Linked DNA regions of Stegostoma tigrinum. The protein of the gene in region 1 interacts with the protein of each later gene in a pairwise test. Links are inferred from orthologs where the notes say so. Each region holds a gene or a part of one and is shown in the gene's direction. Other genes may lie near its edges.

Region 1 (7,455 bases):
CATATTCCGCTTGGGAACCCTGCAGCCCAATGGTATCAATGTGGACTTCACCAGCTTCAAAATCTCCCCTTCCCCCACCGCATCCCAAAACCAGCCCAGTTCGTCCCCTCCCCCCACTGCACCACACAACCAGCCCAGCTCTTCCCCTCCACCCACTGCAACCCAAAACCAGTCCAACCTGTCTCTGCCTCCCTAACCTGTTCTTCCTCTCACCCATCCCTTCCTCCCACCCCAAGCCGCACCTCCATCTCCTACCTACTAACCTCATCCCACCTCCTTGACCTGTCCGTCTTCCCTGGACTGACCTATCCCCTCCCTACCTCCCCACCTATACTCTCCTCTCCACCTATCTTCTTTTCTCTCCATCTTCGGTCCGCCTCCCCCTCTCTCCCTATTTATTCCAGAACCCCCACCCCATCCCCCTCTCTGATGAAGGGTCTAGGCCCGAAACGTCAGCTTTTGTGCTCCTGAGATGCTGCTGGGCCTGCTGTGTTCATCCAGCCTCACATTTTATTATCTTGGATTCTCCAGCATCTGCAGTTCCCATTATCACTGATAAAGGACATCTGCCTGCCAACAACTATGTAATTGGTTTGAAGATAGCTTTAGACATCCAGAATGGCTTTATCTGTCTCTCTGCGCAGTAAAAATGAATACAGGTACACCCAAACCTTAAAGAATTTCATTTTATTTTTTCCTCACCCATTAGTATAAGCTGTGGCTAGTAACCAGTAAGTAAGAGACTTTGCAATTTGTGAATCAGTCACTCTGTGCTTCCTGCAAGAAGGTGAAAGTGCCTGGAGGGGAGAGAATGGAGAACACTAAGTCCTGACAAGGAAAAGGATCATTTCATGGAACCCTGTGGACAAGAACCAAATACCTGTTTTCTCAGTTTTTCCCCTCCACCCATGATCCTTTTTGTCCAGCTATATCTGTCTGTATTTGCATGTCAGGGAGTTTTATAAGGGAATCAGAATTTTAACTAAAAAAAAATCCCATAAGAGCCAAAATGGGCAGCACAGTGGTTCAGTGGTTAGCCCTGCTGCTTCCCAGTGTCAGGGATCCGGGTTCAATTCCAACCTTGGGTGACTGTAACAATCCCCCTGATTCTGCGTGGGTTTCCTCCAGATGCTCTGGTTTCCTTCCACAGTTGAAAGATATGTAGGTTAGGTGAATTGGCCATGAGAAATTGACTATGGTGTCCAGGGATGTGCAGGTTAGGTGGATTAGCCACGGCAAATGGAGGGTTATTGACATAGAGTGGGGGTGGATCTGGGTGAGATGCTCTTCAGACGTTTGGTGTGGAATTGATGGGCTAAATGGCCTGCGTCCACACTGCAGGGATTCTGTTTCAATTTCTGCTGGAGGTGCTGGAAATCTGAAACAAAAACAAAAAATTGCTGGTAAATCTCAGCAGGTCTGGCAGCATCTGTGGAGTGAAATCAGAGTTAATGTTTCAGGTTCAGTGGAGGCAAAGGTGCTGTGTGGCTGTGGGGGTGTGTTGGGAGTGAAGGAGGAGCTGACCAGGGAGTCTTTGAGGGATTAGTCCTTGCAGAAGAAGGGAGAGCAGGGGAATATGTGTCTGGAGGTAGCATCCTGCTGGAGGTGGTGGAAATGGTGACTAATGATCCTCTGGATGTGGCTGTTGGTGGGATGATAGGTGAAGACAAAGGGAACGCTATCATTGTTGGGGGAGGGAGGAAAGGAGCTGAGGGCTGAAATGTGAGAGAAGAGTTGGACCCGGCTGAGGACTGTGTCAACTGTGGTGCTGGGGAATCCACATTTGACAAAGAAGGTGGCCATTTCGGAGGCCCCATTATTGAAGTTGGCATCATCAGGACAGCTGCAACAAAAATAGAGGTACTGGGAGAATGGAGTAAAGTCTTTACAGGAAGTAGGTGTGAGGATGTTTCATCAAGGTAACTGTGGAAATCATAGAGCCAAATAGCACAGAAACAGACCCTGCGGTCCAACTAGTCCATTATCCTAAAACAGACCAATCACCCCTGCCTCCATTTTGCCCATAACCCTCCAATCCTTTCCTATTCATGTACTTATCTAAATGTTGTAACTGTAGCCGCAACCACCACTTCCTCTGGAAGTTCATTCCACACATGAACCACTTCCTCTGTAAGGGTTTGGGGTGGATATTGGTGGCCAGTCTATCCCCAGAAATGGGAACAGAGATGTTGAGGAATGGAGGGAGGAGTCAGAGATAGGCCAGGTGAAGGTGAGACTGGGGTGGAAATTGGAAGCAAAATGGATAAACCTTTCCAATTCCAGACAAGAGAGGGAAGTGACACCAATTACATCATTGATACACCAGTGAAAAGGTTGTGGGTGGTGGCCGGAGTTGGTTTGGAATAAGCATAGTTCCACGTACCCCACAAAGAAACAAGCAAAACTGGGTCCCAATCAGGTACCCCTGGCCTGCCCTTTGACCTGAAGAAAATCAGAGGAGTTAAGATGGAAGTCATTCAAGGCGAGGACAAGCTCAACAATGCTGAGGAGGGTGGCAGTTAATGGGGACAGCTCAGCACTTTCATTCAGGAAGAAGCAGAGAGCCTTGAGACCGTCCTTCTGGGGAATTAGACGTGTAAAGGGATTGCATGTCCATGGTAAAATAGTTTTAACTGGTAGTATTATATGTCGTCAGTTCATACTTGTTTATACATCGCTAGAAACTGTTTAGTTGTAATAATTAGTAATTATTGTTGCATACAGAAACCTGGTCCATGCTTTCTGTTAGCCTGGATCTAAAAGGTAGGTGCATTGTGGAGTTTATACTTTGATAAAATTTTTAACTTTTGTGAAGACTCTGAGACTAATGGAGCTTGATTTCCAGCGTGCTACCTTGGTGAGGTGTTACACTATTTAGTCATCAACACTTGTATTTGTTTTGTACACGTTTGTTAATAATGATTTTTAGTTTTGAAGTTTCAGTTCCACCCTGAAATCTGTTGTTTATTTCCTTATCCCTGGTTCTTCTGTGGATTCTAATATTTTTGTAATATTATCATCCTTTATGACGTTATGGTGTATTAATGGAAAGCCAATTGGATACTTCCATGGTTTCTACCACACAGGTAAAAATGGAATCAAGCAACATCCATCCCTCCCTGTGCACAATGGACTAAGGGCATTTAAAGGAGTTCTTGTGTTCTATCCACTCAATGTTTGCAGCCAGACGAAGGATGAGGAAGAATAGAAATAGAAATAGTCAACAGTGACTTTGATTAGGGCATTTCAGTACTGTTGAAAGAAAAAAAGATTAGAGACTACAGAAATAGAAGAGTTTTGTGTGGTCATGTGAAGATAACAGATTTAGTGTGAGCAAGGGAGAATTGTTCTGGATGAGAAAGAACAATTTAGAGTATCTGCAAATATGAGAGAAACAAAGTGAGGGTAGGGATTATTTAGATAACGGTTTGATGTGAATAGAGTCAAGGGTATCATGAAGAAGAGCTTGGAAAGGAGAAAACTAGATAGAGGATAATTCAGTTCTGAAACAGAGTCATATCACATTCAGTTATTGGAACTCAACTATTGGAATCCCAGACTTAATGTCAACTATGTACCAAATACAGTGGTTGTGCATTACAGTTCAGCCTGGCATCTGACTTGCTGTGGCAACATGCACATAGTATGTAACTTTGGATGGTGACGTTGGAGTCTCCAACAATCTGTGCATCCTGACCAGGAATGTCCCTTACACTTGTTGCATGCCACTAATGTGTGTTGAATGGTTGATACTCAAAATGGCCATGTTAAGAATGTACATTCCTCGGCTATGAAATGGGTGTGGGACCAGGGACTTCTGTCTCACAGCCACTGTCTCACAAGAATTTCTTTATACCCAGTGCTGGAGCAAACAGAGCCGGGCTGGGTGACCTGCTGTACTGCAAAAATTCTAATTTCTCCCTCTGTTAGATAATATCTAATAAATCAGTTCAGAGGTGTTACAACACACTTCTGAAGCATGCAACTTTTACCCAGTACCACTGTCCCCCTTTACCCTGAAACTCACCCACAATGTGTGTCAGGGTAGATGCAGTCTCAAAAGGGCCTGTTGTGTTGCAGTTAGTGTCCCTACCTCTGAACCAGGAGGCCCGAAATTCAAGCCTGAGCCACTCCAGAAGTTTGCAACGACCGCTTTGAACAAGATAACTTTCATAACGTATCAGAGATGACGGGAACTGCAGATGCTGGAGAATTCAAGGTAACAAAGTGTGGAGCTGGATGAACACAGCAGGCCAAGCAGCATCTTGTGCTCCTAAGATGCTGCTTGGCCTGCTGTGTTCATCCAGCTCCACACTTTGTTACCTTTTCGAACGGAATTATTCTGAATAGGGATAATTCCAGCCAATCACAGCCTGGGTCGGTCCAGCCAATCAGAGTCATCACCTGTCCAACCAGTCAAAGCCGTGATCTGTCCAGCCAATCAGAGCCAGGATTGCTGTCAGGTGCATAGCGGGTGAAGGGCTGTGGAAATGGTGCTTTCCTGTTCGGCTTATGGCTGTAAGAATCGGTATGATAAGGATCGGGGAGTTTCTTTCCATAGGTACGGAGAGTCGACTGGCTATGCCTGTGTCTTTTTTTGTTTGCGAGGTTTCAGCACCACTTTAAAGCGATAAAAGTTCGACGCTAGCCGGCCTGGTTTTAGACGGGGCGCAGTGAAGAGCGGGGGGAAGGAAGAAGAAAGAAGAGGAGGAGAGTGGTGTACACAGCGAGGGATTTCAAAGGGGTGTGAAGGCAGAGAGATATTGGTTAGCGGTAGGCTGGGGTTGGGGAGAGTCGGTGAGGAAGGGATTACGAAGATGTTTCCGGACCGTTGATTGAAAAAGAGGAGGTGGTTGAGGTGTTTGGGAGTAGAAGGGGTTTCAGAAGAATGTTGTTTCAACGGTGTTCTCGAGGAAAGAGATTGCGGAAATACAGACTGTCTGTCACTTGTGAGAGCCGCCTGGTGTTCTAATTTTATGTTCAAGTGTGAAATTGAGCTATTGTTTGACTCGTGTGCATCCTTGTTAAGTGCTGGCACTAGACTTCGGTCAGACTCCAGACACCAAAGCACAGACTAATAGTTCACTGCAGAACTGAGGATGTGTACGTTATTTGATGGATTGCCTCTTGGATGTGATGTTAAGCACAAGCTGTGTCTTACCTTTTAAGTTGGATGCGAGATCCCAAGGTTATGCTGATCTGATCAATATTTTAATCCTTAATCAAGACCCAAAACAAATGATTATCTTAACTTTCGTTTCATTTCTGTTTGGTGACCTTTTGTTGATTGCTTCATTTGCCACACTACAGTAGTGATTAGATTTTAAAAAGTACTTAACTGGCTGTGAGATAGCAAGGTGTCAAGCTGGATGAGCACAGCAAGTCAAGCAGCATCAAAGGAGCAGAAAAACTGACGTTTTCAGCTTTCTGAAGCTCAGACCCGAAAGCTCTATATGCTGTTATCTCAGATTCTCCAACATCGGTAATTCCTACTATCTCTTAAAAGGCTCTCAGTTGCTTTTTGATTGTGAAGGAGCAAGTTAAATGCAAACTCTATTGTGCTCTTCTTTCTTTACTTGTTTTTTGAAGAGGTGAACATGACTCTGGTCTCCATGCCATGAGAAGGAGGAAATAAATAATGGATTAGTTTAGTATCAGAGATAATGGGAACTGCAGATGCTGGAGATTCCAAGATAATAAAATGTGAGGCTGGATGAACACAGCAGGCCAAGCAGCATCTCAGGAGCACAAAAGCTGACGTTTCGGGCCTAGACCCTTCATCAGAGAGGGGGATGGGGGGAGGGAACTGGAATAAATAGGGAGAGAGGGGGAGGCGGACCGAAGATGGAGAGTAAAGAAGATAGGTGGAGAGGGTGTAGGTGGGGAGGTAGGGAGGGGATAGGTCAGTCCAGGGAAGACGGACAGGTCAAGGAGGTGGGATGAGGTTAGTAGGTAGCTGGGGGTGCGGCTTGGGGTGGGAGGAAGGGATGGGTGAGAGGAAGAACCGGTTAGGGAGGCAGAGACAGGTTGGACTGATTTTGGGATGCAGTGGGTGGGGGGGAAGAGCTGGGCTGGTTGTGTGGTGCAGTGGGGGGAGGGGATGAACTGGGCTGGTTTAGGGATGCAGTAGGGGAAGGGGAGATTTTGAAACTGGTGAAGTCCACATTGATACCATATGGCTGCAGGGTTCCCAGGCGGAATATGAGTTGCTGTTCCTGCAACCTTCGGGTGGCATCATTGTGGCAGTGCAGGAGGCCCATGATGGACATGTCATCAAGAGAATGGGAGGGGGAGTGGAAATGGTTTGCGACTGGGAGGTGCAGTTGTTTGTTGCGAACTGAGCGGAGGTGTTCTGCAAAGCGGTCCCCAAGCCTCCGCTTGGTTTCCCCAATGTAGAGGAAGCCGCACCGGGTACAGTGGATGCAGTATACCACATTGGCAGATGTGCAGGTGAACCTCTGCTTAATGTGGAATGTCATCTTGGGGCCTGGGATGGGGGTGAGGGAGGAGGTGTGGGGACAAGTGTAGCATTTCCTGCGGTTGCAGGGGAAGGTGCCGGGTGTGGTGGGGTTGGAGGGCAGTGTGGAGCGAACAAGGGAGTCACGGAGAGAGTGGTCTCTCCGGAAAGCAGACAGGGGAGGGGATGGAAAAATGTCTTGGGTGGTGGGGTCGGATTGTAAATGGCGGAAGTGTCGGAGGATAATGCGTTGTATCCGGAGGTTGGTAGGGTGGTGTGTGAGAACGAGGGGGATACAACTCCCCCTCGTTCTCACACACCACCCTACCAACCTCCGGATACAACGCATTATCCTCCGACACTTCCGCCATTTACAATCCGACCCCACCACCCAAGACATTTTTCCATCCCCTCCCCTGTCTGCTTTCCGGAGAGACCACTCTCTCCGTGACTCCCTTGTTCGCTCCACACTGCCCTCCAACCCCACCACACCCGGCACCTTCCCCTGCAACCGCAGGAAATGCTACACTTGTCCCCACACCTCCTCCCTCACCCCCATCCCAGGCCCCAAGATGACATTCCACATTAAGCAGAGGTTCACCTGCACATCTGCCAATGTGGTATACTGCATCCACTGTACCCGGTGCGGCTTCCTCTACATTGGGGAAACCAAGCGGAGGCTTGGGGACCGCTTTGCAGAACACCTCCGCTCAGTTCGCAACAAACAACTGCACCTCCCAGTCGCAAACCATTTCCACTCCCCCTCCCATTCTCTTGATGACATGTCCATCATGGGCCTCCTGCACTGCCACAATGATGCCACCCGAAGGTTGCAGGAACAGCAACTCATATTCCGCCTGGGAACCCTGCAGCCATATGGTATCAATGTGGACTTCACCAGTTTCAAAATCTCCCCTTCCCCTACTGCATCCCTAAACCAGCCCAGTTCATCCCCTCCCCCCACTGCACCCCACAACCAGCCCAGCTCTTCCCCCACC
Region 2 (7,182 bases), on another chromosome or scaffold:
CCACCAAGCTACTATGACATTGTTAACATATATCAGAGAGATGTGTGAAGCAGCATTTTGTTTTATTCATTTGTGGCATGTGGGTGTTGCTGGCTGGTCATCATTTATTGCAGGTGCCTGGTTGCCCTTGAGATGGTGGTGGTGAGCTGTCTTCTTGAACAACAGTAGTCCACCTGCTGCAGTTTGACCCACATTGATGTTAAGGAGGCAACAGGTAACCCAATAGATAGTAGGAACAGCAGATGCTGGAGAATCCGAGATAACAAAGTGTGGAGCTGGATGAACACAGCAGGCCAAGCAGCATCTTAGGAGCACAAAAGCTGACGTTTTGGGCCTAGACCCTTTGTCAGAAAAACTAGACCCAGAAACGTCAGCATTTGTGCTCCTAACATGCTGCTTGGCCTGCTGTGTTCATCCAGCTCCACAATTTGTTATCTCGGATTCTCCAGCATGTGCAGTTCCCATTATCTCTGACACAAAGAAGAGACAGCATTGTCAGTCAAATTGTGTTGGCAGTAGCTGGCAATGAGGGTGCAAATGTCTGAATGTTACATATGTGTAGGTGTTGGGGATGGAAGGGGAAGGGGTGAGGGAGGGAGAGACCTGGTACAAACTGAGATGCTGCTTGGCCTGCTGTGTTCATCCAGCCTCACATTTTATTATCTTGGTACAAACTCTGATCAGTTTTAACTGGCTATGATGCGGTCGGGCTGCACGTTGACGGTACTGGAGGATATTGTTTTTTCCACGATCTCTCTCGCTCACACTCTCAGTAAACTGATATGAAGATATCTGCAGCAAGGGAAATGGATGATGATGCTGGTAATAATGATGAGGTTCCCTCCTGTACAGGCTGACCGCCACCCACTCCCGGGTCACTCATGAGCGTACAGGTGGCGCGCGCCTGCAGGTATCGGTGAGGGCCGGGTGCCAGCGCGCGCACCCCTCCCCGCCCGGTCGCGCGCCCGTACATGCACGCGCCCCCGGGATGTGCTGCTGTCGGCGGCGCGCCTGCTGCTGCTCAGTCTGGGTTGAGAGACAATGTTAGAGGCAGCGAGGGAAACAGAGCTCGGGATCAGCGCTGGAGGTAGGGTGACTTCTTTTTCTCTACCTACAGGCACATATTTGTGCAGCTTAATTTTTTTTGAAGATCGCGTCAGGGAATAATCTTGCTTTTCAAAAAAGTACTACATTCAAAAAAAATAATTTCAAACAAAAAGAATTCAGATGTGATACCTTGCCAGTTAATCTTGAGTGTGGGAATAATCTCTGAAGAGAGTGGAGGCTTGAGGGAGTCCAGAAAGATTCAAGTTTGGGACGCGGAGAGAGTGAAAATGATGCCTTTCCAGCCCGATTTCAAGGGGAAGTTTATTTTTGCTGCCTTTTATTATCTGCAAGCATTATCTTTCACGGATTTGATTGCAGAATGACTAATCCCTCAGCACCTCAGAGATAAACTTGTGCTGTCGACCTCGTTATACACTTAAATGCATTTCGCATGATGTACATTATAGGTGTTATTTCTTCCTATAAAGGAGAGAATGTCTTGGGAATATTTGGTTGTATTCTGAAGCAATGTAGCGGAGGCGATGTAAATAACCCTGTTTTGTGAATCTCGGTTTTCCTGTACGCAAAAGTTTCACTGCAGGGAAATTGCATTTCATTAAAGAGTTTCTAAAATTGGTTCAAATCATGGAAGCCTTGGGGGATAGTGAGGGATGTCATCGCATTTCAAACAGCGAAGCAACTGGAAACGGTGAACACTTTTTTTTGCTTTCTGTTGTCGAACCAGTTTTCTGAAATACGTCTTTTGGTGAAATATCTTTCACACATCACAACTGCTACCTAAGGCGCACCTCTTGTTTTTCTCAAATAAAAGTATCTTCGAACTGAGAAGGAGCTCGTTTATTTGGAGGCTTCTTGCCCCCTCTGAGCCTATTTATCTCTGTGACTTGTGTTGAGACCAGTTGTGGTAATAAGAGAGACCCCTATAAGGGCGTACAGATATACACTTTGGTGATAATTTTGATGACATGTTTACCATTATGAAAATGACATACCAACTTTGAGTTGTTGACGTTTTTAACACGGTGAGTATTAAACCCAATTTTAACTCTAAGTACTCTATAATGCTTCTAATGGACGTGCTGGTTATCTTAACATGTCAATTGTATTATATAATAGAAACTTTTCAAACGTGCTGGATGTGGTTTCTTTTTAAGTTTTAATGTATTGCTTTTATAGTGGGTAGACATTAAATCTTTATATTCACAAAGAGGCAAATAAACATCCTCCAGGATTTTTCAGTACATTCCAAGCTCACCCAGACAATATTGCTGAGCAGAGGCAGGGAGAGAATTTGGGAGGAGAGAGTGCCTACACACTTCCCATTGGCTAGTGAAGACCAACTTATCAAATGTGATGCTGTTCTAGTTAATCATGAGTGTGTGAATGATCTCTAAAGAGAGCGGAGGCTGGAATGGTTCAGAAATATTCAGGTTTGGGATGCAGATAGTAAATATCGTGCTTCTTCAATCTGTTTTGATTGGCTGAGCCTAAAGGGCACAGATTTCTGTCTCTAGAATATTGGTGAATGCAGCCAATAGACCCAAAGACTCAAATGGAGAGGTAGAATTTATACAATCAGGTAGCAGCGTGAATGATTTGAGGTCTTAAATATATTCAAGTCCTGTACTTTTGGTTGGCTTGACATGTCTCACCTAATTTCAAGTTCCATTAGATCTTATCCCTAAATCAGGGAGTTGGTAGGTCGGTTTGGCTAGATGCTGGTTTGCAATGCAGAGTGACGCAAACAGCATGGGTTCAACAGCATGGGGATTCGCTGAGGCTACCACAAAGGACACACCATCTCAACTTCTCCCCTCACCTGTGGCATGGTGACCCTCAGATTAAACCAGCACTGATTGTCACTGGCTCAGGAGAGAGCAGCCCCATAGTTCTCTGAGTCAGATTCTGAAGATTTAGCCACAGAGTAGGAGAGGATTCCATTTGCATGAAAATTCAGCAGTGATGCAGTCACCCTTCCCAATGCAATAATTCTCAAGAAAGCAAAAGATCCTCCCATCTACTGTTTGTGCTTTTACTGGCACGTTTAATGTTTCTTCACGCACTTAAAAACCTACTCAAACATCAGGTCGTTATACACTTTTGAAAGAAGAAACCCCTAAGACTGCAAATTGGATAATAGATTGGTAGTTATCAAAGAAACCAACATGTCCTGTTGTCAATATAGAAGAAAAAACTCTCCCCATGAGGTTTACTGCCACAATCAAAACCCAGCAATTGGGCAATTTTAATGATCTTGAACATTCCGCTGCGTCTCCTGTCAGAATATTAGATCAGTGAGTTGATTAAGGTGTGCTGGGATTTTAATTATGACAATCAGTTGACATGTGGTGACATTGCTTGTCGGCACACCTAGAGTAAAGACAGTTCCCACTATCTTAACCAGTACGACAACAACGATTGAACAATCTGTTTGTAGCAATTCATTACCTCCCTGATATGAATGAGTCAACGAGGCTAAAATTAAAACTAAATTTTTGATAATTTATATCAAGAGAGTCTTCAAGCCACCCCCTTGCTCCTTCATGCTCACACTTTGGTCAGAAGATTAAGATCTGAAAATGACTGCTGGTGACATTATTAATAAATGGTTTGACATATTTAAACAGAGAGTGTTGCCTACCATCTAAATGTAGGATTAACCCATTTATTTTCAGTAACAGACAGGGGAATGTTATATGAATATGTTAAGTGTTTGCTGTTTCTGCCAGGAGGAGATTTTCAGTTTGAGAACATAAACAAGATGATATAATGTTTAAGAGGACACAAGTTAATATGTTTGAACCATAGGTTTTCAGATCTATGGTATTCAGAGTATATGAATGATCTTGCAGACTACATTTGTTATCAGCAGTGCCTGTCCCTCAGCTGAAGGATGATGTCTACTCCAGTGGGTCTTCACTTGACTGAACAGGCCAATTCTCAGCCCAAAGATCTTTCGAGTAAATGTGGCAGGATGTCCCATGAGGTAGCGGGATCTGGAGTGCAGGATTTGCTTCCTTTCCTTTCTTTCTCTGCCACTGCTCTGCCTCATTATTAAGACAATAGGAATCAAAGTATGATGCTGCTTGATGGACAAGCTATCACGATTTTGAACAATTGATAACAAGTTCCTCTCAGTCATTAATGTCAGTGATGCCATGCTTCATGGAGAGCTCCAGAGTGCGTTTGATTACATTTGTGTCATTTGGTGAAAAATAAGAACTGTATAATTTACTGTATAGTCTTTTTGTGTCACCTTTCTGGTTTGGCAACTATTATCATTACCTCTCGTCTGATTTTGCTTATCCATATTCTCTGGCATACTCTCTTAAAGTAAAGATGTTTGCGCCCTGCAAACCAATTTAGCAAACTGTTAAATTTGCTTAATTGCAATCATTCAAACATCATGATGTTTGGAAGCGCTTTGGAGGTGAGATGATGTATGTTTGATCTATGCCATTCTATTGGGGATGTAAACGATCCTTTGTTTGCTGCTCTGTTGTGCACAGGACATACTGGTGTAGAAGTCAAGATTCCAAGACTAAAGTCTTTTGTCAAAAAGTAAGAGATTGACTTCTTCATGAGTAACATTTTGGAGCGGTTGAAGCCCACTGTCTCCACTCATTTTGCTATCTCAGAGTTGTTCCCACTAGCTGTTCCCACAAATCCTGCCCCGAAAAGTACCACACAGCAGTGAAATTATAGCGTTGACATCATATGTTGATATGCTGAGACATGAAGGAATGGAATACTCATTTCCAATGGTGTGTTGTTCCATGATTCTATCAGAGCATCAGAGCAAGTTTGAGCTCGGTGGTCGGTGCATGGTAAGTACAAGGTGTTTGGATTTTTTAGGCGTAAAATTCTTTTTCTTAATTTATGCACAAGACATATGAAAATGACTTTGTTTGGGGGCAGAGGCTGGGACTGACAGAATCAACCATTACCTGAGTATGAACAGTATTATTTTGTAAACAATGTCAATGTAGGAATTTTTTTTGGATGAGATGTTAAATGAAGTGTGACTGCCTGTGCCAGTTGTTCAGGTGGCTGTTTAAAAATCATAATATGATATCAATAACATAAGATTATGACTGTTATATCAGTCCAGCACAGTGGCTACAGCCCAGAGGTTTTGTGTCGATGCAAAGTAAAATAAATGAAGCACTGGGGACTGTGACAGTATGGTGGTATGCAATCTGTCCCTGCTACCACTCAGCAGTAAAGACAATTTGATAATAAGTTTGTCCACTTTTCTGTTGGCACACTGAAGGGCTCCATTTGGTGCACGGGGGGAATACATGGATTTTTAAATATTAAATATTTAAATATTAATTTAAGCACACCAATATTATTTGCAGCGCAAGTTACTTCTATCTGCCTATATGATAAGAGCTTTAGCAACATTTTGTTGCAGCACTGTTTTTATTCCATATATATAGATGCTGATTATTTAAAATGGAACACTTGTTCCTTGTACAGTCATGGCCCTCAGAAAATGTTCTCCTCATGAAGCAAGGGCACCAGTAAACAGACCTAAAGTGGAAGAGCGAGCAACTGCATACTCAAAACCATGACAACAATTACAGAAGCAATAATTTGCCACCGCTTTCAGATAAGACCACAGTTTCTAATACATCACTACATCACCATCTGTCGCATTGCTTTAATCTGTGGTGATTCTCATCATATCCCTGTTTTCTGACCTTGTGTCAGCTGCAGTGCACATCATTTTGTTTCAGTGCTTTTTCAATCAAGAAGTTGTTGATCAGCTTTGGTGCAGAACTTTGGCACAACTGACTCAGCTGGCAGTATGTTCTGACAGAGGCATCAACCAGAATTCTGCTTGGTGATTCCATGTGAATTTGGATGAGATCACGGCAGGAAGGTACTGCAAGTGGTGAGCGTTATTATTGCCTCACTATGTACCCTTTATTTGCCTGTCCTAGCTGAGATCACTGCTAACCTCTCCTTCACCACCTATCTCATGAAATAATTGCTATAGGATTGAACTCCGGCCAGTTTATTTTCCATTAATAATTCCTGGGGCTGCCCAGAGGAATGCGATGGTAGGTGACAATAACAGCGTCTTGCAGTGTTCCTATGGAGCATGAGATGGTAGGTACGGCCGATGCTGGAGAATCTGAGATAACAAGGTGTGGAGCTGGATGAACGCAGCAGGCCAAGCAGCATCAGAGGAGCAGGAAGGCTGACGTTTTGGGCAGAGACCCTTCTTCAGAAATGGGGAAAGGGAAGGGGATTCTGAAATAAATAGGGAGAGAGGAGGAGGCGGATAGAAGATGGATAAAGGGCAGGATTAGTGGAGAGGAGACAGACATGTCAAAGAGGCAGGAATGGAGCCAGTAAAGGTGAGTGTAGGTGTGGAGTTAAGGGAGTGACAGGTCAATCCCGGGTGGATGGACAGGTCAAGGGGGCGGGATGAGGCTGGTAGGTAGGAGATAGGGGTGGGGCCTGAAGTGGGAGGAGGGGATAGGTAGGAGGAAGGACAGGGTAGGGAGTCAGGGACAAGCTGGGCTAGTTTTGGGATGTGGTCGGGGGAGGGGAGATTTTGAAGCTGGTGAAGTGCCCATTGATACCATTGGGCTACAGAGTTCCCAAGCGGAATATGAGTTGCTGTTCCTGCAACCTTCAGGTGGCATCGTTGTGGTACTGCAGGAGGCCCAGGATGGACATGTCGTCTGAGGCGTGGGAGGAGGAGTTGAAATGGTTTGCGACTGGGAGGTGCCTCCCCGGCTGTCCTCCGTCAACATTATTTTTCCAAAGCAGTTTTGCCCTCCAGGCTTCTTGATATGAACTGTGAAATACACAATCAGCTCAGGGAAACTGACCAAAGAATGACAGAATTATGAAGGTGGGAACTGTCTATCTTGTCAATGCCAGATTTTCATTTCAATATTGCAAAACTCATCAACCTTGCTCTCTCCTTATAGCTCTTTATCTCCATCTGCTTGGGGAGAGGCTTGGGGACTGCTTTGTGGTACACCTACGCTCGGTTCACAACAAACAACTGCAGCTCCCAGTCACGAACCATTTCAACTCCCCCTCCCATTCCTCAGACAACGTGTCCATTCTGGGCCTCCTGCAGTGCCACAA
Region 3 (7,547 bases), on another chromosome or scaffold:
CTGGTGGTGGCATCCCGCTGGAGGTGGTGGAAATGGTGTCTGATGATCTTCTGAATGTGGATGCTGGTGGGTGATAGGTAATAGGTGAGTACAAGGGGGTCCCTACTGCAGTTGTGAGAGGGAAGAGAGGAGGTGAGGGCTGTAGTATGGGAGATAGATTGGACCCAGCTGAGGGCCCTGCCAACAACAGTGCTGAGGAATCCTCAGTTGAGGTAGAAGGTGGACATTTCAGAAGCTCCCTTGTCAAAATTGCCATCATCAGAACAGATGCATCGGAGGTGAAGAAACGGGGCGAGTGGAATAGGTTCTTTAGGTCTGAGGATGTATAGTCTAGGTAACTGTGGGTGTCGCTGGGTTTATGGTGGATATGGTGGCCAGCCTAAGCCCAGAAATGGAAACAATGATGTGTAGGAAGGGAAGGGAGGAGTCAGAGATGGACCAGGTGAAAGTGAGAGCAGGGTGGAAATTGGAAGCAAAAGCAAAGCCTCGACCTATTTCGCTACATGACCCATTAGAGACTCAAGTCCAGAGAAATGTTCCTCCTAAATCTATTTAAGTTTCTACTTAATTGATTCTTTCCAGCTTTTTTTCCTCTCTGAGTCGATGTAATTGCCTAGTGGAATTATTGCTGGAATATTAATTCAGAGTCCAAGGTAATGTTCTGGAAACCTAGATTTGAATCTTACCATGGCAGATGGAAGAATTTTAATTCAATTTCTTTTTAAAAAAGTCCAGAATTAAAAGTCTAATGATGACCATAAACCCATTATCAATTGTCAGGAAAAAAAGACTGTCTGGTTCACTTATGCCGTTTAGGGAAGGAAATCTAACTTACATATTCATGTGGCCTGCGTGTGACTCGACATCCACCACAAAGTAACAGCGATGGGCAATAAATGCTGACCATGCCAGTGGCACCTCCTTCCCATGAATGAAGGAAACAAAACCATGCAATTTCCACAATCTCTTTCCGAGTATACTGGCATGAACATTTCACCATGCTGAGGGCTGAAATTTTCTCAGTCCTAGTGACTGAAAGATGGCTGCATAGGTTTTTCCACCTTGGAGGTTTCACAGGTGAGGACATACTTGCTGAGGTGCCTAGTTCTCTTGAATGCTAAGGGAAACTCAGAAGTATTCACATCCTCTCCAATAACAACACCATCAGTGTTCTGTTAGACACTTGACTGCATCATATATTTTGTCAGCGATGATGCGTTTAGGTCACTGTTCCAGAGTGACTTTCCAACCTTTTCTTTCAAGAAAAGTCTTCAAAGAACTGACCAAAATCCCTTCATCTCTATTTTAGTTACCAAATTCCAAAAATGATAACGTATACTGTAAACCTTTCATCACAATACCATCATACATAGGTGGTTTTCTGCACTTCTGTAGAAAATATTAATTCCAAACATGATTAATTTACTTTAAATCTTTATGAAATTCTATCATATAATTACCACTTATTCCCTGGACGCCTCATTACTGCAATACTATTAATGACACTTCCCATCATTGCGAAATACTTGACCCAAAATAATCTATTTCCTAGTGGACACCTCAGTATATCCTGCATACTTTCCATGACCCATCCTCCATGCTTATACAAGTTTAGCTTTTCCATTTAATGTGAGGCTTAAAGTCCCCAAAGCCAGCAATATTACATGGACGTCTAATTTCCCGATTTCCATGTGACAAATGCTGACAGAGGGATCACTGAGCAACTCCCACCAATATTTTCTGTCCCTTAGTGTAGCTTGTCTCCAAAAACTGGTGATTTTCTGACTGAACTGATGGCCAAGATTCCGACAGCACACTCTCAGACTTCAGAAATGGCTTTAACACACTTCTGAACAGTCTGAGGGATTTTTCTTTTTCCCAACAATTCAGTACAGGTTTGAGTTCCCTTTGATCCCTGAGGGAAGTTGTTCAAGGGGCATATGGTTCTCCTCCAGCTATTACCATATCTTGTTTTGACATCATTCCTTGGTTCCCTCATTCCTGCCAATTTGTGATTGCTCTACCTGTTCAAAACTTGGGTTCATTTCATTGCCAGACCCTGTTCCTTAGAAACGCTTTTTCCAGAAAGAGATTTTTAAAATGACATCATGGTAAGTGTGCTTTTTGGCTGCAGTGCTGATGCCTGTCAGAAGTGGAGAATGAGATAATTCTCCAGTGCTGGCATTGAGTACCACAATTAGACGCAGGGCAAATCTCACTGTCTCTCTATAACCAACCCACTCCACCAAAACAGTGCGACGTCTGCCTATTTCCCACGGTTTCCACACCCTGGCAGCTTTGGGGCAGCTTGTCCCTTGGCCCATCGCCCATTAGTAACTGGGTTGAGCGATTGCCCGAATTCATTTCATGCAGAACCTTCACAGTTGACAAAGGAGACTTTCATCCTGTCAGAACTTCACGTCGAAATGTTTGGCTTTTGTCTCAGTCAACAGCCTGTGACTTCAGGTTTCCAGACACATTTGACAATAGCATACTCCACAGAGGATCAACTCCCGATCCAAAGCCACCACAGTTCGCCTTCTCTCTCTTGCTCTCCTACCTGCTGTTTGATGGAGCAATCCCTGTATTGTTAGTAGTTCATAGAACACAATTACAAAAAAGGGAGAACTTTTTGTCTGGTCATGTATAAAGCTTCATTTTGCTTTGCAGGAGAATTTGATAAACCTCCCTGGAGCACTTCAGAGGCAGTTTCAAAGTCAAACACGGTGGGCCCTTGGGCAGGGGATGGTATTGACAGTGACGTAGGACTGGGATTATATACAGCCCAGACTGGGTAAACAATGTGAATGAACCAGAGATAGTAGGAACTGCAGATGCTGGAGAATCTGAGATAACAAGGTGTAGAGCCGGATGACACAGGAGGCCAAATGAACCAGTTGGATTATGATGACAACCCAACAACTTCGTCATCATTTTACTGATCACAGATCCTGCTCTGGCTTTTTTTAATGAAGTAAATAAAGTTGAATTCAACAATTTTCAAACTTGCCACCTATTCTTTGTGTCATTTGCAAACTTGGCTATAGTACTTTTGCTCATCCAAGCCATTTATACATATTATAAATAATTGTGGCCCCAACACTTTGATGCCTGTGGCACACCACTATTTAGAGTTTGCCATCCTGAAAATTCCCTACCTTATCCCAACTCTCTGTCCTCTCCTAGTGAGCCAATCCTCTATCAACGCTAATATATCTTCTCCACACCATGGACAGCTATTTAATGGCCCAATGTGTGGCAGCTTATCAATCATGTTCCGTAAATCCAAATGTATAATATCCACTGTTTCCCTTTTATCAATCATGCTTGTTGTTTCCTCAAAGAGTTGTAAAAAATATTGTTAGGCGTGATTTCCCCCCTTCATGAAGCAATGCTGACTCTGCTTGATCATATTATACATTTCTGAATGCTCTGTAATTACATCCTTTACAAGAGACTCTAACATTTTCCCAAGAACAGAGCTTAAGGTCACTGGCCTATAGTTATCTTTTCCGACTCCTTTCAAAATAGCGTTTGGGGCTGTTCTCTGCAAGAAGGCGAAAGGGGCATCAGAGAGAGGTTCTCATAATCTGGATAAGACCCAGAACTGTTTAAAGCATCAGGAACGAGAGGACACGGATTTAAAGCGTTTTGCAAAAGAAGAACTAGGGTTGGGGAGCTAAACTAAAACAAATGTGCTGGGCATCTGAAAAAAAAAACAGGAAATGGCTGAGAAACGCATCTGCAGAAAGAGAAAGTCGAGCTAACGTTTCGTGTTGTGACCCATCGTCAGAACGATTAAAGTGGCTGTTCGGGCCATCGTGTCTGTACTAGCTCTTTGATAGAAATGCCAAACAGCTTTCCCACCTTTTCCTCGTCACCTTATAAATTCCCCCCGCCCCTATGCCGTCCGTTCACATAAAGTGTTGCAAAGTACCCCGTGCCGTCTTTACTTTCTGCGTGTGGGAATCTTCCCGTGCACGGGTGGCCTTTCAAAGCGAAAGAAAATTCAGTAGACATGCCCCACAAAGCCCCATCTCGATGATTTCACGATCTTTATCAAACAGGTTTACAGTCTACTCCCAAAGCTGAAGTATTTATGAGGCTAGCGACCTAATTGGGGAGAAAATTTCTCAGAATTCAACGAAGTGCCCGAGAGACGGGGTGGGGTAGGGTTTGGACTGGGAAATGTTTCACCGAAGTCAAGTTCTTTCAACTCATTCCGCCTCGTCACTGATCCTTCCTTCCCTGGCGAACGAAATGCAAAATCCCACAAGTTGTGTACAGTCTGCAAATACAGAGTGGTTCTAAACGGTTTCTGGGGAGCATGTGTTTTTATTATTTTGTAAAATAAATCATCCCTAATTATTTATTGCACTCCTAGTGGGTGTTATATAATTCAATCATGCTGCTGTCAACAGCGCAGGGCGGAAGACAATGAACAGTATTAAATGTGTGGCGAACATAACGCGCACTTGTTTACACAATTTCTCTCTCTCTCTCTCTCACACACACACACACCGATTGAATTTCAAGCCGTGGACCGAAATTAGCTGTAGTCTGCGTCACAGGAAGATGGCGACTGGCAGAGCTGTTGGAGACGTGTTGTATGTGTTTTTATCTGAGTTGAAAACCTCACTGTGAATGAGCCAAGTGCAGACACACACACACACACACACGCACACTGCTCCAGGAGAGAAACTCCCGCAGTTCATTACTGGGTGTGGAGCCAGCCGCTGCAGGTGAGTGTTTACTGTAACAGATAGCGGGGTGGGATCCTATCGTCTTGGGGAGGTTTTTAAAAAAAGGAAAAATATGCCCCAGAGAAACGGCAGGATGAAGCCCTCCGTGCAATTTTTTTTGGAACTTCCTCCGCTGGGCCAGAGAGAGAGAAAACTGCAGCAACATGCCCTGTAATGTGTAAGCAACTGGGGGCGTCAGTTTCTCAACACTCTCCCTTATACATGAGCCTTCCCTTCCCAACTCCCCCCCGTACACCTTTACAAATAGCGAGATAAAAAATATAGTCGGTGTGCAAAAAAGATATGGGAGCAGGAGGGAGAGGTTGATTTTAGCAGACGTGAGGGGACACACAAATCGCTAGATCTGCGGAACAGTAAAATGTTGTATCATTTCCTCGTCTCCAGCGGAATGTCTGATTTCCTCGAGGATCGTCAGGTCACTGGCGGGGGCAGATTTGGGGCCGAAGGAATCAGACGGTTCAGTAGGCGGCCCTTCGGCCCGTCTGAGTCTGTACCGCCAAAAGTACGCTACGTTCCGCCCACATCATCCCCTCTTTCCCTACGTGTGTGTCATACGGGAGCAAGCTGTTCCTGATCAATATTCTCTCTCTCTGCATGTTGTATTTAGGGAGGAGTTGGGGCGGGAAGGGGGGTGCGCGGAAGGATGCTGAGGTTTTTCATACTGTACATTCTTTCCTCCCCGTGGAGTTTGCATCAGCTATCCGCTCACGGCCCTCATAAGGGAAAAGGGGTGATACTTCTGCAGAACAGCCACAAGGCACACGCCCACCTGCCTCTCGCTTTGATAGTGTGTTATGCATGCAGCTTTGGAAGGGGGAAGGTCCTGGGCTGGGGTGCCCGCCTCGTTGTTTTGATTTGCATTTCGAGACTCGAATAGAGACTCTTCCACACCCCCCCCCCCCAAACCCGGCCAACAAAAACACACACACACTTTCAGATATTACGGCCAGCCAGCGCTGTTCGTTGCAATTCAGGAAGGATGTACGGTGTACGCAGGCCTCAGAGAGGGGATGCAGCACAGAATCAACTGGTTTGATACTGGCTCCGCAAGGGTTAAACTCTGTGGACAGCTTGCAAACTGTGTGCGCGTTCCCTTCGACACAGGAAGTCAAGCAGCATCCCACTCGGAGCGTTGAAAACGACCAGGGTGAGTAGAGCCGGGAGTCCAGCACATAAGGGGGCAGTTTTTCATTGGATGGTGGAAATTCGACACCCCCTCCCACCCCCCCCCCCTCCCCACCGCCAAAAGACAGTGAGACAAGAGTTGAAAACTTGCAAGTCAGGGAGTATGATGGCCACTCGCCTGGGTAGGTGCAGCTCCAACAACACTCGAGAAGCTCGACAACAGTCTAGGAAAATGCAGCCCCCGCTTAATTGGCACCACATCCACAAGCATCCGCTCCCTCCACTCCCAAGGCAAAGTGGAGGAAATGTGTGCCACCAACCAGATGCATTGTCAAATCTCCTTTGCCGGCATGTTGCAAATTCAGTGACCTTTACCTCCTGGGAGGACAAGGGCAGTGGATACATGGGAACACCGCCACCTTCAAGTTCCCCTCCAAGCCACTGTCCATCCTGACTTAGAAATATGTCGCTGTTCCACCAAAATCCTGGAATTCCCTCCCTCACAGAATAGTGGATCTGCCGACAGCATGTGGACTGCAGTGGTTCAAGAAGGCAGCTCACTACTGCCTTGGGGGCAGTTTGGATGGGCAATAAATGTTACCCAGTGATTGACACCCATACCAAATGTGACCCTACAAAAGGCTAATTTTAAAGATTTTAACCTTGAAGTTGGTAGAATATGGTGTGGGAAGGTGCCTCCCATTCTTAGAAGAAATAAAGGCACAGGCAGTTTAGCATAGACAATTTGCAGTACAGGTATGCATTGAAGAGTTGTGCATGTCTCTACACAGTAGAAATAGAGGGCAGAAAGTGTACACAGTTCTTAATATATTATTGGCTGAAGCTATTGATATTCTGTAGATTCACCATTCTGACTTAGTTTAAATTTAATTTAACAATACCAATTAATATTTGTAAAACCTAACTCCCACCCATTTAGAGATACTGTACACTTTGCTTCTGAGCCAATCCCCTTATACATCTGCTTGTGATCAGTTAGCCATGTTAGGCTGAGCTGAAAAAGAAAACGTTAAGACATTTTAGCTGTTTGAGATAAATAATGACAGGCTGTGTGCGTTTGTGAACATTCATTAAATTCCTGTCAAAAAGGATTGTTTTTAAATTTCCAATTATTTACTTAATATAGACCTTTATTTATTTTGAGGTTTACTTAGTAAAGGCAGTATACATTATGCTTTTACATAGCTTCAAGTTTAGACAGAGTTTCTATTCTATTCTTTGGTATTTATGAAGCTTGGTGTTGTAACTAACATCTGTCAGAGCAATTAGAAATATTTGGTTCTTTCTTGCTGCAACTGTGCAAAACACTAGTGCGGCTGCATTTGCAACATACAAGATGATCAGAGGAGTAGATAGGGTGGACAGTGAGAGTCTTTTTCCGAGGATGATGATTTCACCTTGTACAGGGGCTGATAGATTTAAGACAGATGACAGAGGCTGGTTCTTTACTCAGAGAGTGGTAAGGGCGTGGAACGCCCTGCCTGCCAATGTAGTTAACTCAGCCACATTTAAACAGTCCTTGGATAAGCATATGAATGATGATGGAATAGTGTAGGGAAGGGGCTTAGATTAGTTCATAGGTCGGCGCAACATCAAAGGCCGAAGGCCTGTTCTGCACTGTATTGTTCTATGTCTATG
Region 4 (7,295 bases), on another chromosome or scaffold:
CCATGTGCTGTTTTTCTTTATTTCTGACTTAAAACAACTCTTGATCTACTTGAATAATAACATCAACGTCACTTTTCTTAGCTATCTCCTGCACCTTTGATGATTTCCAGACCTCTGAATGAGGTTTAAGTCTACTACAAACTTGGCTTGGTGCATGGCTGCAACAGTTCCAATAAACTGAAGCATTACTTGCTCCTTTACGCATACATTCAATTTGAATATGACCAACCTTCCGAAAGGTATGCTGGAAACAGGGCACTAATGCTTGATGGCCAACATGGTAGCAGTAGCATCTAAAATTCTAACTCAGAGACAGTGAACATGACAACTGTGACCCATATCTCACTGAAATCTGTTGGACCTCTGCTGCTGGTTTAGGAAAATAGTTCACATGCAATTATCTTCTGCCATTTCTGTGGATGTGGCCTCATTACAGGACTCATTCCATGTCAACTTATTGTTTTCACTCAAACTTTTGGGCTAGGTTTAGTGTTTTTCAAACTGCTCATTAGCATGTCTATAATGTGGATTTCAAAATCCACACCTCACTTACCGGCCACAACGATGAGAGAGGTTCTTTAATTTGAGAATGTATTCTGTATGACTCAGTTGGAAACAGCTTCCAATTATGGAATGCAACTTTCAGTATGAATTCATTCACAGTCATGCCATAATGCAATCTCGTGAATTTCAGCATAGTCCACTGAACTGAGGTCACACAGACAACACTGTTTAGACACCAGTCAAAAATTTAGACACCATAAAAATGCTTGATGCCAACATGGTAAAGAAATCATTTATCCAATTCTATTCTCTTACCTTATTTGCTTTTAGCCAAATGTGTAGCCTTCATTCTTAGACACATCAGTCCTGTTTGAAAGGACTGAAGTTCTCCATTGTACCCAAATGCAATTAGTAGCATTTTTCAATTATATACTGTGCTGACTCACTATGAACCAGCATATGAATTGCACGTGGATAAATTTTCAAATTGCCCAAACTTCCTCAATTTCAATTTTAGGAATTCAAACAATGTGTCACAGTGTGCCTTTGTCCTTAATTTCACAAATGAAAAAGAAAATTTCATCTTTCCTCTATGTATTATTTTTTGAATAAAATTAGCACAAGGTCAATGGCAGAGGCCACTATTGAAATAACTTTATTTACACTTCATTGAAATAGCAATAGAGAGGTTATATAGCAAAATATTCAAATTTTTTGATATACAACAAGAATTGTTACCTGGAACAGCAGTAGAATTTCAATTGGAAGTATGTTTATTACAGACTGTAAAGAAATGTTGCCCGAAGCCAATTTGAAAACGTTGGACCATTAGTGATTTATAATGATAGCACTAACCCATAATGCAAATGTCAACCACGAATCTTACCTTTAACCTTGACAACCAGTGTGAGTTGAGAATGAAATACCTTGACACCAAGACAAATCAATCATAGTATCAGCAGCCTAGAAAACTGCAGTAGGAATCAGAGAAAAAACTCTCTGCTGTTTGGAATCATACCGACCACGAAGGAACATGGTTGCAATTGTTGAAAATCAATCATTTCAGTCGCAGGGCAAAGCTGCAGGAGTCCTCAGCTACTTCAGCAATAACCTTCTTTCAATCATATGGTGGGAGTGGGGTGATGTTTGTTGATGATTGTAAAATGTTCAACAATTGTTGTTTCAGGGAGGTAGTAGTATGATGGCGTTGTCACTGGGTTAGTAATCCAGGTTAGGCCTACGTTAATGGTCTGGAGTTTTGTGTTCAACTTCCACCACAGCAGATGGTGAAATTTGAATCCAATTAAGAATATCTGCAATTAAAAGCTAAGTCTAGTAGTGCCATAACGTGATCATTGTAAAAAGCTGAATGGCTTCCTTTTGGAAACAAATAGAAAATAACATCTCCAGCATCTGCAGTTCCCATTATCTCTAGAAAACAACATTCTTGTGTTATCGAGAACTAACATAAATAAAGTGCATGGATTCTATTTACTGAGAGACCAATGGTGAGTTTATTTACAGCTAAACTACTTTTTGCAATTCAGATAATTCCCAGCCACGGCCTGGGTCTAGAGTGCTTCAGAGAGTGTATAGTTATGTAACAACATTTGGGTACTTAACTCATTACATTAAATTAAACTTTTAAAGGGATTCACTCTAAGGATGCTAATATCCCCTTGTTCCAAAGATAGCTCTTCTAATGGCGTAAGTGAAAACACATAACATTGGCTAAAAACAGAAGTTATTCTCCAGAATTAGAGTTGTAAAATTTACACGTGTAGAAATCTAAGAGTCCATGTATTGTCTCAGTGGTCTAACAGTCCTTCTGGTATAAAGATGGCTTGACTTTTTTTGGGCGCTCTCTCAGTGATAATACTTTAATGGAAAGGTCTGATTGTATTGTGCAAGAAATTGAAGAATCCAAGGCATCTCTAGGTCTTTGTTGTTATGTGGGGTAGGCATTTGTCTTATATCATCACCGTTGTCTGAGTTGGGACAGATTCCACAACTTGAACACGTAAAGCCAAAAAAAATTAAGTTGATTTATATGCATCTGGCACTTTTTGCTGCTGAAAATGCCGTGAGCAAAGCATTCAATTATGCTTTTCTTTGCTTTTGCCTATTACCACAAGGACATTATCAATGCATATGTGTTCAGGCACACTTCTTGTAATTCAATTTATGTGCTGCTGAAATATCTTTTGACTGAAAAACAAACTGAAAGTTGGCTTCTGTGTGCAAAATCTTCCAAATAGTGTTGTGGAAGTAGTGATTTCCCAGCTTGGAGGAGAATTTAGCTCTTACGAATTTAGGATTCAACTCTTCTAGTGTTGGAATCTTTTGTGGATATCTCTTTCAAAAGCGGTTTAGACATCTCAGATGTGTATACAATATTGCATGATTCTTCATTCGTAGCTGAACTGCATCACTTCGTCGTAATCCGCACAATGGCAATGCTATTGCATTTCATGTAATCTAACTCACACTTAAGCATTTCTTCTTTGTGAATACACTTTCTGGGAGGGTCAATTGATGGAACTGCATCTTCTTTGAAGTTCAATTTGGCATTGCCTTTGAAACTTCTTACTGCAATGAATCTGCCTGGGTACAGTTGGTATAAATCCTAGACTGATTCAATGTGAGCATTCTTGATTGTTCTGCTGCCATGGATACGTCGGTGAACTCATGGATGGTCACAATGTTGAATTCCATTATTGTTAGTCTGCTCACTTCCAAAAGGTAAGACATTTGTGGCTTCCATTCCGAAATGACATAGCTGCATTGCATCATCTGTTGTCATGTATTCACAGATAGGTACTTGGCTCATTTGCATGTTAAGCTCTTAAAAGCTGTGCTTCACTCCAAAGGTGGTGACAAAACATTCTGTACCTGATCTGGTTTATTTGTAACCCCATTCACACAAAAATGGCACTGTGCTTGGATCTCAAATACCCTACAAAATGACCTTCCATATCACTCAGTTCAAGGGCAATTAGAGATGGGCAACAAATGCTAGCATGACCAATGATACAGTCTATGAAAGCATTTGGATACTGCATTCATGGCTCCTCAAACAACAAAGTGGAGTAAATAACATTTCCACCACATAACAGCCAGGAAGTGACCATCTCCAGCAAGAGAATATAAAACTATCAGCCCTCAACATTCAATGTTCAAGAAAATAGTTCATTCCATTTTCTCAAGAACAATTAAGGTCAAGCAACAAATACAGCATAGCCTCCTAGACCAGAAAAGTAGCACAGCACCACTTAGAATTGATGGCGTCCAGGTCAAACCTGAAAACTGAATTTTGATACGCTCATGTCCAAGTGTTCCTGAGTTTGTACTGTTTTCGTGGCACCTAAATCCCGTGAATGAATAATAAAGAAAACATACGAAACTCAACACCAACTGTTAAGCCTTATTGCAGGGGTGTGTAACAACATCTCTGTACAGGTCAATTAGAAATGTGTGTGTGTTTTTTTAGCTCCAATTCCCAATATTCAGCCAACTCACCCCAATCCCTCAAGTAGGCAAAGTGTTCATAGCATGATACACAAGCAATTGCAAAGCACACACTAACAATGTGAGGTCCCTAATTAAATAGGACTTAAACAGAGCGGGCTTGGTTTGAAATGCAACGTAAAAGAGAAAATGGTAGTCTTGGCCAGCCCTCCCCAGTGACTACGAGATGAATCTGGTTTTGTTGGATGCTCAGGCCCAAGGAAGCTCAGAACCTTCACGGCTGTTGCTTAGTGACAGCCCCGATGCATTTCGGGAAACCAAGATGGCGACGCCTATGCACAGATTGATCGCTCGTAGACAAGCGTGAGTATTCAGCTTCCAGAATCGCCAAAGGTTCTTCTATCGACACTGAAGTGGCTGCTTTCCAAGGTGTGGGTAGATGGGTTCGAGGTAAAAGCAGCGTCGGCGGGAGGGCTGTAAAATAAATGGGAGGTGTGAGGCAGGTTTCATCTTCAGCCCCGGGCCTCGGAGATGCTCCAGCCACAAGCACCAGATGTTTCCCATTTGAAATGGAGTGTGGTTAAATTCCACAGGCGGCGAGGAAAGACGCCAAGGCTTTGGAGAGGACTGTTATGAAGACTGTTTCAGTGGTGACGTTAATCCTCATGCGTGGGGACGCATTACAAACTCGTTTAAATGTGAATTATCATTCGAGAGTACCACGCACAAGTGAAATGTATTTTAAACTCCCAGTAAGCGAGTGTCACCTCAGATCAGGGTTTGTAAGTCTTTCTGATTATTTTTAAAAACAAAATCTGGTTTCGGTTAGTTTGTAACGTATCCTACGATTATTTCGAAAATCTTCAGTGCTGTCCACGAAACGCTGGTCGTTAAAAACAAAGACTGGTTAGTTGGAATGCGTTCTTAAAGGGACTCTTGGACCTTGTCGTATAACTACTTTAGGCTTTTTGAAGAACTCACAACACAATTATGTATCAGATGATCAACTTAGTTTTGCCCATCCAAAATTCTAATACAATAAAATGTGAGGCTGGATGAACACAGCAGGCCAAGCAGCATCTCAGGAGCACAAAAGCTGACGTTTCGGGCCGAGACCCTTCATCAGAGAGGGGGATGGGGGGAGGGAACTGGAATAAATAGGGAGAGAGGGGGAGGCGGACCGAAGATGGAGAGTAAAGAAGATAGGTGGAGAGAGTGTAGGTGGGGAGGTAGGGAGGGGACAGGTCAAGGAGGTGGGATGAGGTTAGTAGGTAGCTGGGGGTGCGGTTTGGGGTGGGAGGAAGGGATGGGTGAGAGGAAGAACCGGTTAGGGAGGCAGAGACAGGTTGGACTGGTTTTGGGATGCAGTGGGTGGGGGGTAAGAGCTGGGCTGGTTGTGTGGTGCAGTGGGGGGAGGGGATGAACTGGGCTGGTTTAGGGATGCAGTGGGGGAAAGGGAGATTTTGAAACTGGTGAAGTCCACATTGGTACCATATGGCTGCAGGGTTCCCAGGCGGAATATGAGTTGCTGTTCCTGCAACCTTCGGGTGGCATCATTGTGGCAGTGCAGGAGGCCCATGATGGACATGTCATCAAGAGAATGGGAGGGGGAGTGGAAATGGTTTACGACTGGGAGGTGCAGTTGTTTGTTGCGAACTGAGCGGAGGTGTTCTGCAAAGCGGTCCCCAAGCCTCCGCTTGGTTTCCCCAATGTAGAGGAAGCCGCACCGGGTACAGTGGATGCAGTATACCACATTGGCAGATGTGCAGGTGAACCTCTGCTTAATGTGGAATGTCATCTTGGGGCCTGGGATGGGGGTGAGGGAGGAGGTGTGGGGACAAGTGTAGCATTTCCTGCGGTTGCAGGGGAAGGTGCCGGGTGTGGTGGGGTTGGAGGGCAGTGTGGAGCGAACAAGGGAGTCACGGAGAGAGTGGTCTCTCCGGAAAGCAGACAGAGGAGGGGATGGAAAAATGTCTTGGGTGGTGGGGTCGGATTGTAAAAGGCGGAAGTGTCGGAGGATAATGCGTTGTATCCGGAGGTTGGTAGGGTGGTGTGTGAGAACGAGGGGGATCCTCTTGGGGCGGTTGTGGCGGGGGCGGGGTGTGAGGGATGTGTCGCGGGAAATGCGGGAGACGCGGTCAAGGGCGTTCTCGATCACCGTGGGGGGAAAGTTGCGGTCCTTAAAGAACTTGGACATCTGGGATGTGCGGGAGTGGAATGTCTTATCGTGGAAGCAGATGCGGCGGAGGCGGAGGAATTGGGAATAGGGGATGGAATTTTTGCAGGAGGGTGGGTGGGAGGAGGTGTATTCTAGGTAGCTGTGGGAGTCGGTGGGCTTGAAATGGACATCAGTTACAAGCTGGTTGCCTGAGATGGAGACTGAGAGGTCCAGGAAGGTGAGGGATGTGCTGGAGATGGCCCAGGTGAACTGAAGGTTGGGGTGGAAGGTGTTGGTGAAGTGGATGAAGTGTTCGAGCTCCTCTGGGGAGCAAGAGGCGGCGCCGATACAGTCATCAATGTACCGGAGGAAGAGGTGGGGTTTGGGGCCTGTGTAGGTGCGGAAGAGGGACTGTTCCACGTAACCTACAAAGAGGCAGGCATAGCTGGGGCCCATGCGGGTGCCCATGGCCACCCCCTTAGTCTGTAGGAAGTGGGAGGAGTCAAAAGAGAAGTTGTTGAGTGTGAGGACGAGTTCAGCTAGGCGGATGAGAGTGTCGGTGGAGGGGGCCTGGTCGGGCCTGCGGGACAGGAAGAAGCGGAGGGCCTTGAGGCCATCTCCATGCGGAATGCAGGTGCACAGGGACTGGACGTCCATGGTGAATATGAGGTATTGGGGGCCAGGGAATTGGAAGTCCTGGAGGAGGTGGAGGGCGTGGGTGGTGTCACGGACGTAGGTGGGGAGTTCCTGGACCAAAGGGGAGAAAATGGAGTCCAGATAGGTGGAGATGAGTTCGGTGGGGCAGGAGCAGGCTGAGACGATGGGTCGACCAGGGCAGGCAGGTTTGTGGATTTTGGGAAGGAGATAGAAACGGGCCGTGCGGGGTTGGGGAACAATGAGGTTGGAGGCTGTGGGTGGGAGGTCCCCTGAGGTGATGAGGTCGTGAATGGTGTTGGAGATGATGGTTTGCTGCTCGGGTGTGGGGTCATAATCGAGGAGGCGGTAGGAGGTGGTGTCGGAGAGTTGGCGTCTGGCCTCGGCGATGTAGAGGTCAGTGCGCCATACTACCACTGCGCCACCCTTGTCTGCGGGTTTGATGGTGAGGTTGGGGTGGGAGCGGAGGGCTGCCCGTTCTGCGGGGGAGAGGTTGGAGTGGGTGAGAGGG

Evidence for each region.
Region 2: the proteins of THAP domain-containing protein 1-like (region 1) and znf385c interact in a two-hybrid assay, tested with the Homo sapiens proteins (3 studies listed by BioGRID). The two-hybrid records come from large-scale screens. The link is inferred for Stegostoma tigrinum from reciprocal best matches to the Homo sapiens genes THAP1 and ZNF385C.
Region 3: the proteins of THAP domain-containing protein 1-like (region 1) and phf1 interact in binary tests that used the Homo sapiens proteins (3 or more experiments, as listed by UniProt). The two-hybrid records come from large-scale screens. The link is inferred for Stegostoma tigrinum from reciprocal best matches to the Homo sapiens genes THAP1 and PHF1.
Region 4: the proteins of THAP domain-containing protein 1-like (region 1) and zcchc10 interact in binary tests that used the Homo sapiens proteins (3 or more experiments, as listed by UniProt). The two-hybrid records come from large-scale screens. The link is inferred for Stegostoma tigrinum from reciprocal best matches to the Homo sapiens genes THAP1 and ZCCHC10.

Annotation. Positions count from the first base shown.
Region 1 is NC_081354.1:16,648,833-16,656,287, forward strand, and holds the start of THAP domain-containing protein 1-like, read left to right. Parts: upstream 1-4,450; 5' UTR 4,451-4,490; coding exon 4,491-4,561; intron 4,562-7,455. UniProt on the Homo sapiens protein: DNA-binding transcription regulator that regulates endothelial cell proliferation and G1/S cell-cycle progression.
Region 2 is NC_081384.1:13,221,419-13,228,600, reverse strand, and holds the start of znf385c (zinc finger protein 385D), read left to right. Parts: upstream 1-4,167; 5' UTR 4,168-4,226; coding exon 4,227-4,248; intron 4,249-7,182.
Region 3 is NC_081387.1:17,109,964-17,117,510, forward strand, and holds the start of phf1 (PHD finger protein 1), read left to right. Parts: upstream 1-4,545; 5' UTR 4,546-4,742; intron 4,743-5,626; exon of another isoform or gene 5,627-5,910; intron 5,911-7,547. UniProt on the Homo sapiens protein: Polycomb group (PcG) that specifically binds histone H3 trimethylated at 'Lys-36' (H3K36me3) and recruits the PRC2 complex. Involved in DNA damage response and is recruited at double-strand breaks (DSBs).
Region 4 is NC_081366.1:23,102,213-23,109,507, forward strand, and holds the start of zcchc10 (zinc finger CCHC domain-containing protein 10), read left to right. Parts: upstream 1-4,279; 5' UTR 4,280-4,294; coding exon 4,295-4,335; intron 4,336-7,295.